Linked DNA regions of Arabidopsis thaliana. The protein of the gene in region 3 purifies or fractionates together with the protein of the main gene of each other region. This does not show direct contact. Each region holds a gene or a part of one and is shown on either strand. Other genes may lie near its edges. The genes, in order: AT4G17830, AT1G07750 and AT1G63770.

Region 1 (3,753 bases), on a different chromosome or scaffold from region 3:
TCTTTGCATGATATGTAGCCATGAGACCTGCAACAAAATTAAAATAGATAAGGATCAAAGATGAGGAAATTCAGCAAAGGAGAGAATCCGAGTTGGGTTTTGTAATACCGTATCCTGAAGTTTGCACATCAAAACCTTCATCCTACAAACCAAGAGCATGATTCATTGGTTTAGAAAGAGTAAGTTGTAGAGAACTCTGAAAGATCAGTCTTGAGTCTAGTTAAAGTACGGTTTATCAAATGGTTTACCTGGAGGTCTCGGATTAGAGGTAAAGTACCGGTGATCGAGTAAGGCTTCACGTGTCCAACAACTTCTTCGGTTGCTTTGCATAGAACGTGAAAGCCGGGAGAATCAAGATTACACGCAACTCCAGCTGATGCTTCATCAAAACTTAACGTGAGCCTGCAAGTGACAATTAAGACTTTTTAAGATTTCGGTAGGGACAATAAAATGAGAGAAAGAATAGAATCAGGAGAAGAAGAAAGTCCAAACCTTCCCCGTAAATTCTCATCTGGTAAGACATATTTTGAAACAGGACCACGGGTTTCGAGCCTCTCTATGTTACCGTTTATGTCGTCAACATACTCTTGCAACTTCGTTATCACTTCCTTCACGCTGCAAAAACAACCAAAAAGCCATTAAAGTGTGTCTAAATGCATTGAAGAAACGAGTAAGACAAGTGTGAAGAGACTTACTCATAGAAAGGAGTCAACCTGACATCACCCGAAACAGTACATTCTCCGGGGATTTGGTTGATTCCACCTGCTGGATCTGCAAAACCAAACAATTTATTGTAAGTAGACAACATGTAAAGTCATTAGGCACACAACATGCTATAGATTCCAAAACTTACAACACCACTGTGTTGGCTTCATGGTGGATGGTGTTGCAAAACCATAAACTTCCTCTTGTGGGTGAGGCGGAAAGTCTCTGTAGAACCGAGCTTGGATTTCCTTAAGCCCTTCCATTGCTAACTCCATCGCGTTAATCGCCTTCGTACAAACAGAAGAAAAGATCAATGCCAAGTTTGCAACTTCATCTAGAGTAATCCATTCATATATAAAATACCTTGTGAGCTAAACCGCTATGGAAAAGCTTTCCAGTAAACTGAAGCTTCCATGGTATCATACCCCCAGTTCCAACACACGGCTGCTTATCCGCTGTATCAATCCAATACCTTCAAAAGAATACACATCAATAAGCTTCAATCATCCTTCAATTTTCATCTAAAAACTCCCCAAGAAATTTCTAACAGAATGGAAACTAACAAGGGTCCGGATTTGAGCTTATCAAGAAGTTTGTCTTTCACCAGCATGTCCACACCAACACCAGGAATGGAAGAGTTCTCTTCGCTAGCGATGAAAACCGCCACCACCGTTGATTTCAACGCCGGTTTGGCTTGCCCGAGTTTCTTCATGAGTTCAGTGACAAGAGCAACGTGACCAAGACAATCTGTTGTCCCACGACCACGAAGCTTATCACCATCTATGCTTAGCGAGAAAGGATCAAATTCCTATGAACAAAAACCGAAGTCAACCAGAGAATCCAAAATTCAATGTAACCGATTAAACCCTAGAGTACACAAAACAGAGAAAGCTTTGAAATTTGGAACAATTCAGATCAGTTCATCGGAAATTAAACAGAACCCAGTATCAGATTTTAAGCTAATTCTAATGGGCACCGATCAAAATCACATATTTAGAATCAATCAAAATTACCCAATCATCAGGATTCGCAGTGACGACGTCCATATGCATTCCGACGAAAGACAAGATCTTTCCGGGAACAGATCCTGGGTACTCAACGATGAGATTACCTCTACCTGAATGATACGCGACATGATTGATCACCAGAGGACCACCACCAGTTTCTGTGCTATAAGGACGGAGAGAGTCAAGGACGTGTTTGACGATTAGGTCCTCTTGAGGGATGAGCTCCGGCGGATTGTTCTGGACGAATTTAGATTCGCCTATGAGTTTTGATAAGAGAGAAACGTATGAGTCTTTGTCAAGAGAGCCTATGGATTCGATCAGTGCTTTGGAAGACGAAGCCATTTTTGTTACACCAAAGATGTTTTTTCTTTTGGGGTTTGCAAACAAAACTAATAAGGTTTTGGTCAGCTTGTCTACGAGCTTCGTGTGTTGTTTAAGGTTTTGGACCTTTTCGGGTGGAGTGTTACGCTAATTAATTAAAAAATTATACGGAACCAAATTAATTAATGTACATATCACTATCCTCAACAACGAAAAAGAATTAAAAATCTACAGAAGGCTTTGCTTAATGTTGTTCATGTCTTCTATGGATTCCAAAATGTATTCCTTGGCTTTAGGATCTATGGCAACTCACACAAGCAACATCAATTGGCCACGCATCAAGTAAGGATCTGTTGCAACATCGCTCTGGATATTACCCTATGAAGCATGGAGGATAATATATGACCAATTCTTAAATCCACATCAGTTCAAATAGTTGATAAGTAGGTGCATTCGAATACGATATGGTATGGTCACGTGTTTCGGGACAGCCACACGATTCTATATATATGTGGTTATATCATTAAGTATGTAAGTTATGGATTGAAAAGAAACAGTTGATATCCTATCACTTTCGAAAATATTGCAACCAGGCAATCAATTATCCAAGTCGGTTCATCTTCTTAGTCACATAACTAAACCGAGAGCACACAAACAACGAGATTGACATGGAGCTGATCAGACCTAGCGTGATATATAATGTAATTGTGTTAATGCCGATTTCTGATAGATCCAATCGAAAGCAATTGTGTTAATGCCGATTGAGTTGTTAATATAATTGTAATACAAGTGATCACAGCTTCAACCATATATAAGGGATTGTGGTTGATAAGTTCTCAAAAGGTCTTTGGAAAAAGATATCCACGCTTTACTCAAACAACCCAAATAGACTCTTCTCGGAAAATGACTATATATTAATATTAACTTCTTGGCACATGTGATGATGTGAAGATCCACGAGAGAAACAACTAAACGATTAACTAATGAAATTCGACTATGAAAAAATTAGATTTGTTATTTAATTGAATTATTAGTTTAGTCTAATCAAATAACAATGCTAAGAGGTAAACGACAGAATTCTAAAAATTATACTTCACAATCTAATTATATTTTCACATGATATAGTAATAGTTTTTACTTTTAAAACTCCAACTTTAAATGGCGCCGAATACGTCATCCTTTGTCGCAAATTGCAACCAAAGTTTTTGCCATTTATGAAAACAAAGGTGAAAGAGACAATGGATGATTGATATGGGGATTCGAACCATGCTGAGCAGAAGAAGACAGTATAATTAAAGTATCCTATCTCACTGATTCAATGGACTGTTCCTCTCACAGATACAAAATCCCTAAATCCCTTTTTAATTTCATTTGGTCTTAGCATCAAACATCTGTAATTTATTTGCATGCCAACAAATTCATATCTCAGTTGTGCTTTTACGTACACGAATCTTGGTCGGTATATATATATATATATATATATCTGCTGTCTTCTTCGGTTTGTCTTGCTTCATCTTCAAAGTATTACATTTTCTTTCTTTAGAAGAACCTTAATAAGAGTCGATAACCCTAATAATTAAGCGTCCAAATCGTCACTGGGATCTCTAAGTGAAGATTGTTCTTTTTCTAAGTTAATTCAACCGCTAGAAAAGAAAATCATTTGGGTAAATATTAGAATTAAGTTTGAATATGACCATGCGTTGTAGATATTTTTATTTTT
Region 2 (3,753 bases), about 21 Mb from region 3:
CCATTGTTGATGGTCTTTTCGACCTTATCAAAGGAGAAGCCAAGTGAGAGAGACGTTTCATTTTGGGTTTATAGACCAAAAAAGTGGTCATTTGTGAGAGTATCTTCGAAAGCATATGCTTTGAACCATTAACTAAGCTGACCTGAGTCCCATTATTACTACTTTTGATTTTCTTCTTCTTTTTTCTCTTTTGTTAGTATATTAAAATCTATTTAAATTATTGAGGCGAGTAACATGGGTTGCTTCGCCACAAATCAAAAGTAGAAAAAAAGTGAGGTCCTCTTTTCTTCGCCTAGTTGTTTCTCATTGGACTGCTTCCAACTCTTGTTGGTTCTGTCAATTTTACGAGGTTACCAAATTTGGTTCAGTTTTGTGAATCACTTGGGAATTAGGTTACGTTGGTATTCTTCTGCGTTTATAAAACGTGCCTATGATCTAAGTAACTACCCAAGTCATTGTCTCCAGCTAGTGGAAAGCGACACGTTACTGATGTTAGAGTTGATATGATTTGCATATTTTCTTGTTTTAAAGCACATTTTGTGTTTGTGTTTACAATTTTACATGAAACGAAATTAACATTCCACCAACCATCAATTATACAAGTGCTATTAAATACAAGATTTAGGTCAGCTGTCTAATGCAATGGAACTTAGCAGCAATTTTGAAAAAAAAAATATGGTACTAATAGCATATTGTTGTGATAAATATTACTATCTGATCATCACAGTCATTCAAGTGGCTGTAGTTTAGTGGTAAGAATTCCACGTTGTGGCCGTGGAGACCTGGGCTCGAATCCCAGCAGCCACACTTGTTTTGGTTATTTTTTCATTTTTATTTTACATGGGCATGTGATTAGCTTTCTGCTAAAGCCCCTTAAGATAAATGACACTGATGGGCCTAAGTATTTTCTCTCGGGGGGATATAACTAAGCGTTATGATATATATTTTTTTGTTTTTGTCATCTAAGCGTTATGAATATGCAAGTTAGATATAATAATAATTAGGCCAAAATTAATTACATATTTATCCATGTTAAACTAATCCTTAATAACAGCAATTCTTTCAACTTATCCATCACGTTGCTCGTTGGATTAAATTAAAATTATAACAGTCTGTTGCTACTTATATTTCTGGATAAATCCTTTACAAAATTAGAGAATATACAATCCTGTCAGCAGATCCCATCCTTAAAAAATTAGCAAAAGAAATATAAAATCAGCGATTACCTTAGATAAAAAAAACATACGATTTTTGAATTCATCCTTTAATTTTATCTTTAAGGTAACAAAAAAAGGAAAACATAATCTTAAAATCACCAAATTGGAAAGAAATATGGTGACATAATTGAGAAAATATTTACAACAAATATTCTGATGATTCGATTTGACCAAATAATACAGCACTTTTAGTAGATTTATTTAAATGTCTCAATTAGTATTTGTTTATGAAAAAAAAACGAAGAACGTGATGGATTAACAAAAATTATCTCCTCACAAAGGAATCTTTATTTGGTAGGCAAAATATAAATTATATCGTGGGCATAAAGAAATGGATAAAATTTGGATTAAAAACGTTAAACAAGAATTATCCACAAGTAAATCGTAACGCAATCAAAACGCCGAATCAGTCTCTCTATTAGTAACGGATTCACCCTAAGCCTCTCCTATATAAATACGTGTCGCATCTCTTTCACATTTCACATCAAAACTTACTACTTCTTCTTCTTCTTCCTTTACCAAATCTTTTCTTCTTTACTCTTTTTCATCGTCGAGAAAAAATGGAGTTGGATCTTACACCTAAGTTGCCCAAGAAGGTTTACGGAGGAGATGGTGGATCTTACTCTGCCTGGTGCCCAGAGGAGTTGCCGATGCTCAAACAGGGTAACATTGGAGCCGCTAAGCTTGCTCTTGAGAAGAATGGCTTCGCTGTCCCTCGTTACTCTGATTCCTCTAAGGTCGCTTATGTTCTTCAAGGTTCGTTTTTTTCTATAAAAGTTTTCTACTTTATTGCGATCCATGCGTTTTTGTATAATGGGTTTGTTCGATTTCATCACTCTGCTTCTTCTTTTGAGGGTTTTTGATCTTTTCTATGTTCTGATCTTCTTTATTGCTTTAAAAGTTGTCAACTTTATGGTAATTCATGCACTTTGACCACTGTGATTAGGTTTATTGTGATGCTGATTCTATGATCTGATTTTTGTTGTAGAAAGTGAAAAATATGATAGTCAAATAGATCACGACTACTGTGTGCAAGAAAAAAAAGTAGTCTTTAGCTGTTTTTGTTTTGCTTAATCACGTCTTAATCGTTGATCTGATCAACCTCGCGTGTAAGGAATTGAAAGCTTGTTTATTTGACTCTTTTTCAAATTTCTGTTTCAGGATCTGGAACTGCTGGAATTGTTCTCCCAGAGAAGGAGGAGAAGGTGATCGCAATCAAGCAAGGTGATTCGATTGCTCTTCCCTTTGGTGTGGTCACATGGTGGTTCAACAACGAGGATCCTGAGCTTGTTATCCTCTTCCTTGGTGAAACCCACAAGGGTCACAAAGCAGGGCAGTTCACTGAGTTCTATCTTACTGGCACAAACGGTATCTTCACTGGTTTCTCCACTGAGTTTGTTGGCAGAGCCTGGGACCTTGATGAGAACACCGTGAAGAAACTTGTTGGTTCTCAAACCGGTAATGGCATTGTGAAGCTTGATGCGGGCTTTAAGATGCCACAGCCCAAGGAGGAGAACCGTGCTGGGTTTGTCTTGAACTGTTTGGAGGCTCCTCTTGATGTAGACATCAAGGATGGAGGCAGGGTCGTTGTCTTGAACACCAAGAACCTTCCTTTGGTTGGAGAGGTTGGCTTTGGAGCTGATCTTGTTCGGATCGATGCACACTCCATGTGTTCGCCTGGTTTCTCTTGTGACTCTGCTCTTCAGGTGACTTACATTGTGGGTGGAAGTGGAAGAGTCCAGGTGGTTGGTGGTGATGGGAAAAGAGTTCTTGAGACCCATATCAAAGCTGGTTCTCTCTTCATTGTTCCAAGGTTCTTTGTGGTTTCTAAGATTGCTGATGCTGATGGCATGTCTTGGTTCTCCATTGTCACCACTCCTGAGTAAGAACTTTTCTCTGCACTTTCCTTTTTGAGGTTTGAAATTGAAAGAAACTAATATGTTTGAAACTTTTTTCTTGTGTGTTTGTAGTCCGATCTTCACACATTTGGCCGGGAATACATCGGTGTGGAAGTCTTTGTCCCCTGAGGTTTTGCAGGCAGCGTTTAAGGTGGCTCCGGAGGTGGAGAAGTCCTTCCGATCCACGAGGACTTCATCAGCCATTTTCTTCCCTCCTTCCAACTGAAGAAGGAGAAGAATGAGAACAAGAACCAGCTTTTATCTTTTATCGTTTGTTGCTTTCCCTCAGAGATTTTTGAGGGTTTTTACTTTTCTTGTGATTCAAGGAAGTTTCTTAGTCTAGTTGTTTAATTCTCTTCCTGCCTTTTCCCCCTGGACCGGTTCTTGTTCTCGTTGTTTTAAAATATTAAAAAATCAACCTTTCCTATATTTTACAGTCTTCCTTCTTTTCAACTTTTGGAAAAATTGAATCAAAAGAAATTTGTCTTCCTTCAAATTCTCACTTTCATATTAAACTTCAGAATTTTGATGGTTCAAAAAGAAATTCCAATTACTGTAAACAAAAATTCCAATCAAACGAACACTATATTGAAAAGTAAGTTCATGTAACGATGACTGATAAAACATTACAACATGTG
Region 3 (3,753 bases):
CCTGTCATTTCATAATAAGAACACAATGTAAGAACATCAATTGTACTACCCCAACACCAGTCATCTTATCAACAAGTAATCAACCTGGTAAAATGTAATTTTGCGGAAACCTTCTGCTTCACACTGTGTGCAGAAATTCCCAGAAGACTTGTAAAGCCCCTAACAGAAGAAATTAAAAAGGTTAGAAGAAATCATTTACATCATTGAAAGTTTAAAAAGAAAGGAAAATAAGTTCACCTCAAGTGAAGTATTCTTGTGGGGGTATATCTCAGTATCAATCTCCAAAACAAAGGACTCCTCAGCTGGAAGCGAAGGAAGAGTTAGATGGCGAGAGTCCAACTGGTAATCCCCTTCCTAGCCAAAGTGAAAAGAGAGACCAAGTATCAGAGAGGAAACTGAGTTACTTATTCTTAGTCAACTGAGTTGCTTGTCTTAGAGAAAAGTCTATAAAGTGAGCCTAGAGATACAAATATTTTCCGAAAGGAAAAGTATTGAATGGATACCTTAAGAAGCTTCCCCTCAACCTTGACAGAAAGTAGCTTCAAGTCATGTCCATCCAAGACCAATGCAGCAGAAGATCCTGGCCAACATGATACTTGTTCAGATGTGATGTGAGAAAAAAAGAAGCAAAAATCCATCTTAAAGCTATGCAAACAGCTCATGCAAAAGAAAAATAAACTTGTATGTTCAGCTTAAAGAAACAGCAAAGTACTAGACTGTTGTACCTTTAACTCGAGGAGAAACCTTGATTTTAGAGCTAACAATTGTTTTCTCTTCACCTAGAGAGAAGCTCAGATCCACCTAAACAAACAAACAAAAAAGCTTCAAATAACAACAAAATGATTCTAGTCATATACTCAATTTGGAATTAAAAGAAAGCTAGCATACAGTTTCAAAGTAGTAATCAGGCTTTGTGTAGTTCTTGAGAAATATTTCTTTAGGTGCATCCATTTTGGAATCTTCAGCTTTATCCGGAACTGATTCTGTGGCAACAGAACAAATGAGCCTCCTGCTGTTTTGCTTATGTGTCTGACATATAAAACAGAATATGCATTTATTTTAACTACACAAATACAGCATTAAACTAATAACTTTTGGATTTTATCTATCATAAGGGAAGGATAGAGCAAGTTACATCAACAGAATGGGGTAGAAACCGATTCTTCCTCAAACAAATGGCCTGAAACAAAGAATTACAGCAAAGATCATTCTCTATTTACATAGCGTGGCACTTGATGATAGAAGAAACAAAGAAACACAAACCTCGGAAGTAAGAAACGGTCTGTGTTGAGTAAGTCTGTTTGCCGAACTACGAAGACAACTGCTTCTAACAGGAACCTGTAAAAGAGAAATTAACATAATTATAAACATATAAAGATGGAACAAAACAAAACAGAAGTCATAGGAACACAAGAATCAAGAACAATTTCTTATTCTTACACAAGTTCTTTCCAAGGTTTGTGTACACAACCGAATTCAAAAGTAAAACATGTAAAAACTAAACTCTCAACAAAAACATACAATTCGAACAGAACTCCATCATTTTAATTATATCATTTCTATTGTCAGAATCAATCAAAAATACAACATTCTATATCTATAACCAAAAGAAACAAAAAAAAGAGTTAAAGGGTAATCACAGGAGCACGAGAGAGCAAACCCAGAAGATTGACTCTCGCCAGAGACGAACTTCGACAAGGAATTATCAACCGAGCCATTTAAAAGAACACCCAAATTCTAAAAATCCCTAAAGCAACAATAACTCTTAACAATAAAATTAAATTAAAAACACTTCCTCCTTGTTGCGGCTAAAATCTCCAATCTATAAACCCTAGATGATAACTCTCTCTACTCACTATAAACAGAGAAGAATCAAAAGAGAAAACACAGAGCAGTAAGTTATGGACTTTTATAAAACTAATGGATAGAATTTAAAATGAAAAATATGGCCGAGAAAATTCGATATAATATTAACAAAAAACAAAAATAAAACTGGGAAGCAAGCAAATGATTAAACGAAATTAAAATTCGATTTCGCGACTTTCACAGAGATCAAATCGATCTGAGGAAGACGAAGAAGTAAATTACCGATAGATCCGATGATCAGATGAAAGAGACACAACTGAAACTATGAGACGAAACCTGGGACTGATATATATATAACAACACGATGAAAGATATTTATAATTAAAAAATAAAAATTATAGTTTAGAATTTTGACAATTTTGTGTTTATCCATTTTCCAATACCTTTTAGCACTTCGATGCTGCTCAGATAATTTTTGTTTGAATTCGTGGATAAAAATACTACTACAAAATTTTTTATTATGACTCACGCAACAGTATATGGTTGAAGATAAATACTAATTGAAGACAAGAAAGTTTTGTTTTTATAAGCTAAACGTTAAAACAAAATCATCGCAATTTTCTCTAAGGACACAAAAACTGAACAGCTCTTCCAACAGAATGATAAGTAAAACAGAATTTAGATAAAGGGTTCAAAGCTGTTCCGTTTAGTCATCATTCACCGATGAACTTGCGCTTTTTAGAGGTGTTCATGTACGGTCTTATAACCCATTCGATCTCTGCTTCATTTTGTTCCACAGTTCCTAATTTCACCTGCAAAAATAATTGCATTACACAGAAACAACATTGTTACTAAGGAACTAGAATGATTCTTTATCAAACCATTATTTTACTCGAGGAAAACAGTTTTGATTCGGTTAAGCAGAATGCGTACCTGGTAGAGCCGCAACTCAAATCGAGGACCGATTTCTTTAAGCTCGATTGATTTTGGACCTCCCTCTCCTTTATCATAGACATGATTCCTATATATATATACCCACAAGAATTTATAAAAATCTCCATCTGTTGTATTTACAGTGTTCTTACATGCTGTTTCTATGTGGATCAGATTACCAAATGCTAACATAAGCCTTAAGACCTTAGGCTTTGCATACTACAATTGATGTCACCAATTAAAATTCGTAAAATCTGATCATTGTGAGAAAATTTTACCTGAATGATATATAATCGGATTGATTAGAAAAAGTAACTATACGTTTTGCATCCAGTTTTGGAGCAGGGAAGATATGTTTTAAGATGTTTCCAACTCTTTGACCCATCTGCAAAACAAAGGGAAATCAAATTTGAAAATATGTTTACATTAGAAATGAATAAACCAGAGCGATCATTCTATGAGACACGACGAAGCTTGATGGTTTCCAATACCAAATTACAGTAAGAACGAAGTGAATTTTGGCTCTAGAGATATACCTGAGTAGTAAAGTTGTTAAAAATGAGATGAGGATATTGCTCAGGCATTTTTCCAATGGATTTCTTGTCTGAAATATCATGTCTTGTTACCTAAACAGAAGGGACTTTGGATTAAGTAAAAAGGCTAAACTAGGAGTTGAAAGAAGAAAGATTTGGATATAAAAATCAGATCCTCAAAGAGTTACTTACCACATTAAGTAATCCAAAGTATGCAGTTGGTCCAAATGGGAGATGAGAGATAATGAGACCATCAGGCACACCACGGTGCTCATGAACCAATATAACATCAGTAAAATCATGGGAACGAGCAGTTTCAATGATCTCAGAAATGACCTGCAAATTAACAGAGTGGGAAAGAAACTTAGATTACGATTCGAATGCAACATAGTTTCCGTGTTACACTTACATAGAGAGGTTTTGTGTTGAATATAAGTGTCAGTACAACTCCAGCTTAAATGATCGTTTATATTAGTCTTGC

Evidence for each region.
Region 1: the proteins of AT1G63770 (region 3) and AT4G17830 fractionate together in Arabidopsis thaliana (co-fractionation; one large-scale study listed by BioGRID). This does not show direct contact.
Region 2: the proteins of AT1G63770 (region 3) and AT1G07750 fractionate together in Arabidopsis thaliana (co-fractionation; one large-scale study listed by BioGRID). This does not show direct contact.

Annotation. Positions count from the first base shown.
Region 1 is NC_003075.7:9,914,217-9,917,969, reverse strand, and holds the start of AT4G17830 (Peptidase M20/M25/M40 family protein), read right to left. Parts: upstream 2,158-3,753; 5' UTR 2,055-2,157; coding exon 1,719-2,054; intron 1,514-1,718; coding exon 1,254-1,513; intron 1,178-1,253; coding exon 1,069-1,177; intron 993-1,068; coding exon 854-992; intron 772-853; coding exon 696-771; intron 616-695; coding exon 493-615; intron 403-492; coding exon 249-402; intron 143-248; coding exon 109-142; intron 28-108; coding exon 1-27.
Region 2 is NC_003070.9:2,403,888-2,407,640, reverse strand, and holds AT1G07750 (RmlC-like cupins superfamily protein), read left to right. Parts: upstream 1-1,591; 5' UTR 1,592-1,777; coding exon 1,778-1,973; intron 1,974-2,378; coding exon 2,379-3,099; intron 3,100-3,187; coding exon 3,188-3,341; 3' UTR 3,342-3,649; downstream 3,650-3,753.
Region 3 is NC_003070.9:23,662,526-23,666,278, forward strand, and holds the start of AT1G63770 (Peptidase M1 family protein), read right to left. Parts: upstream 1,973-3,753; 5' UTR 1,719-1,972; coding exon 1,641-1,718; exon of another isoform or gene 1,339-1,640; coding exon 1,264-1,338; intron 1,181-1,263; coding exon 1,136-1,180; intron 1,030-1,135; coding exon 889-1,029; intron 802-888; coding exon 726-801; intron 581-725; coding exon 504-580; intron 355-503; coding exon 238-354; intron 160-237; coding exon 85-159; intron 2-84; coding exon 1-1. Other genes in the region: IMP4 (Ribosomal RNA processing Brix domain protein), read right to left, coding at 2,520-2,618, 2,740-2,827, 3,018-3,124, 3,276-3,365, 3,465-3,608. UniProt on the Arabidopsis thaliana protein: Aminopeptidase with broad substrate specificity for several peptides. Involved in proteolytic events essential for cell growth and viability. Plays an essential role during prophase I of meiosis.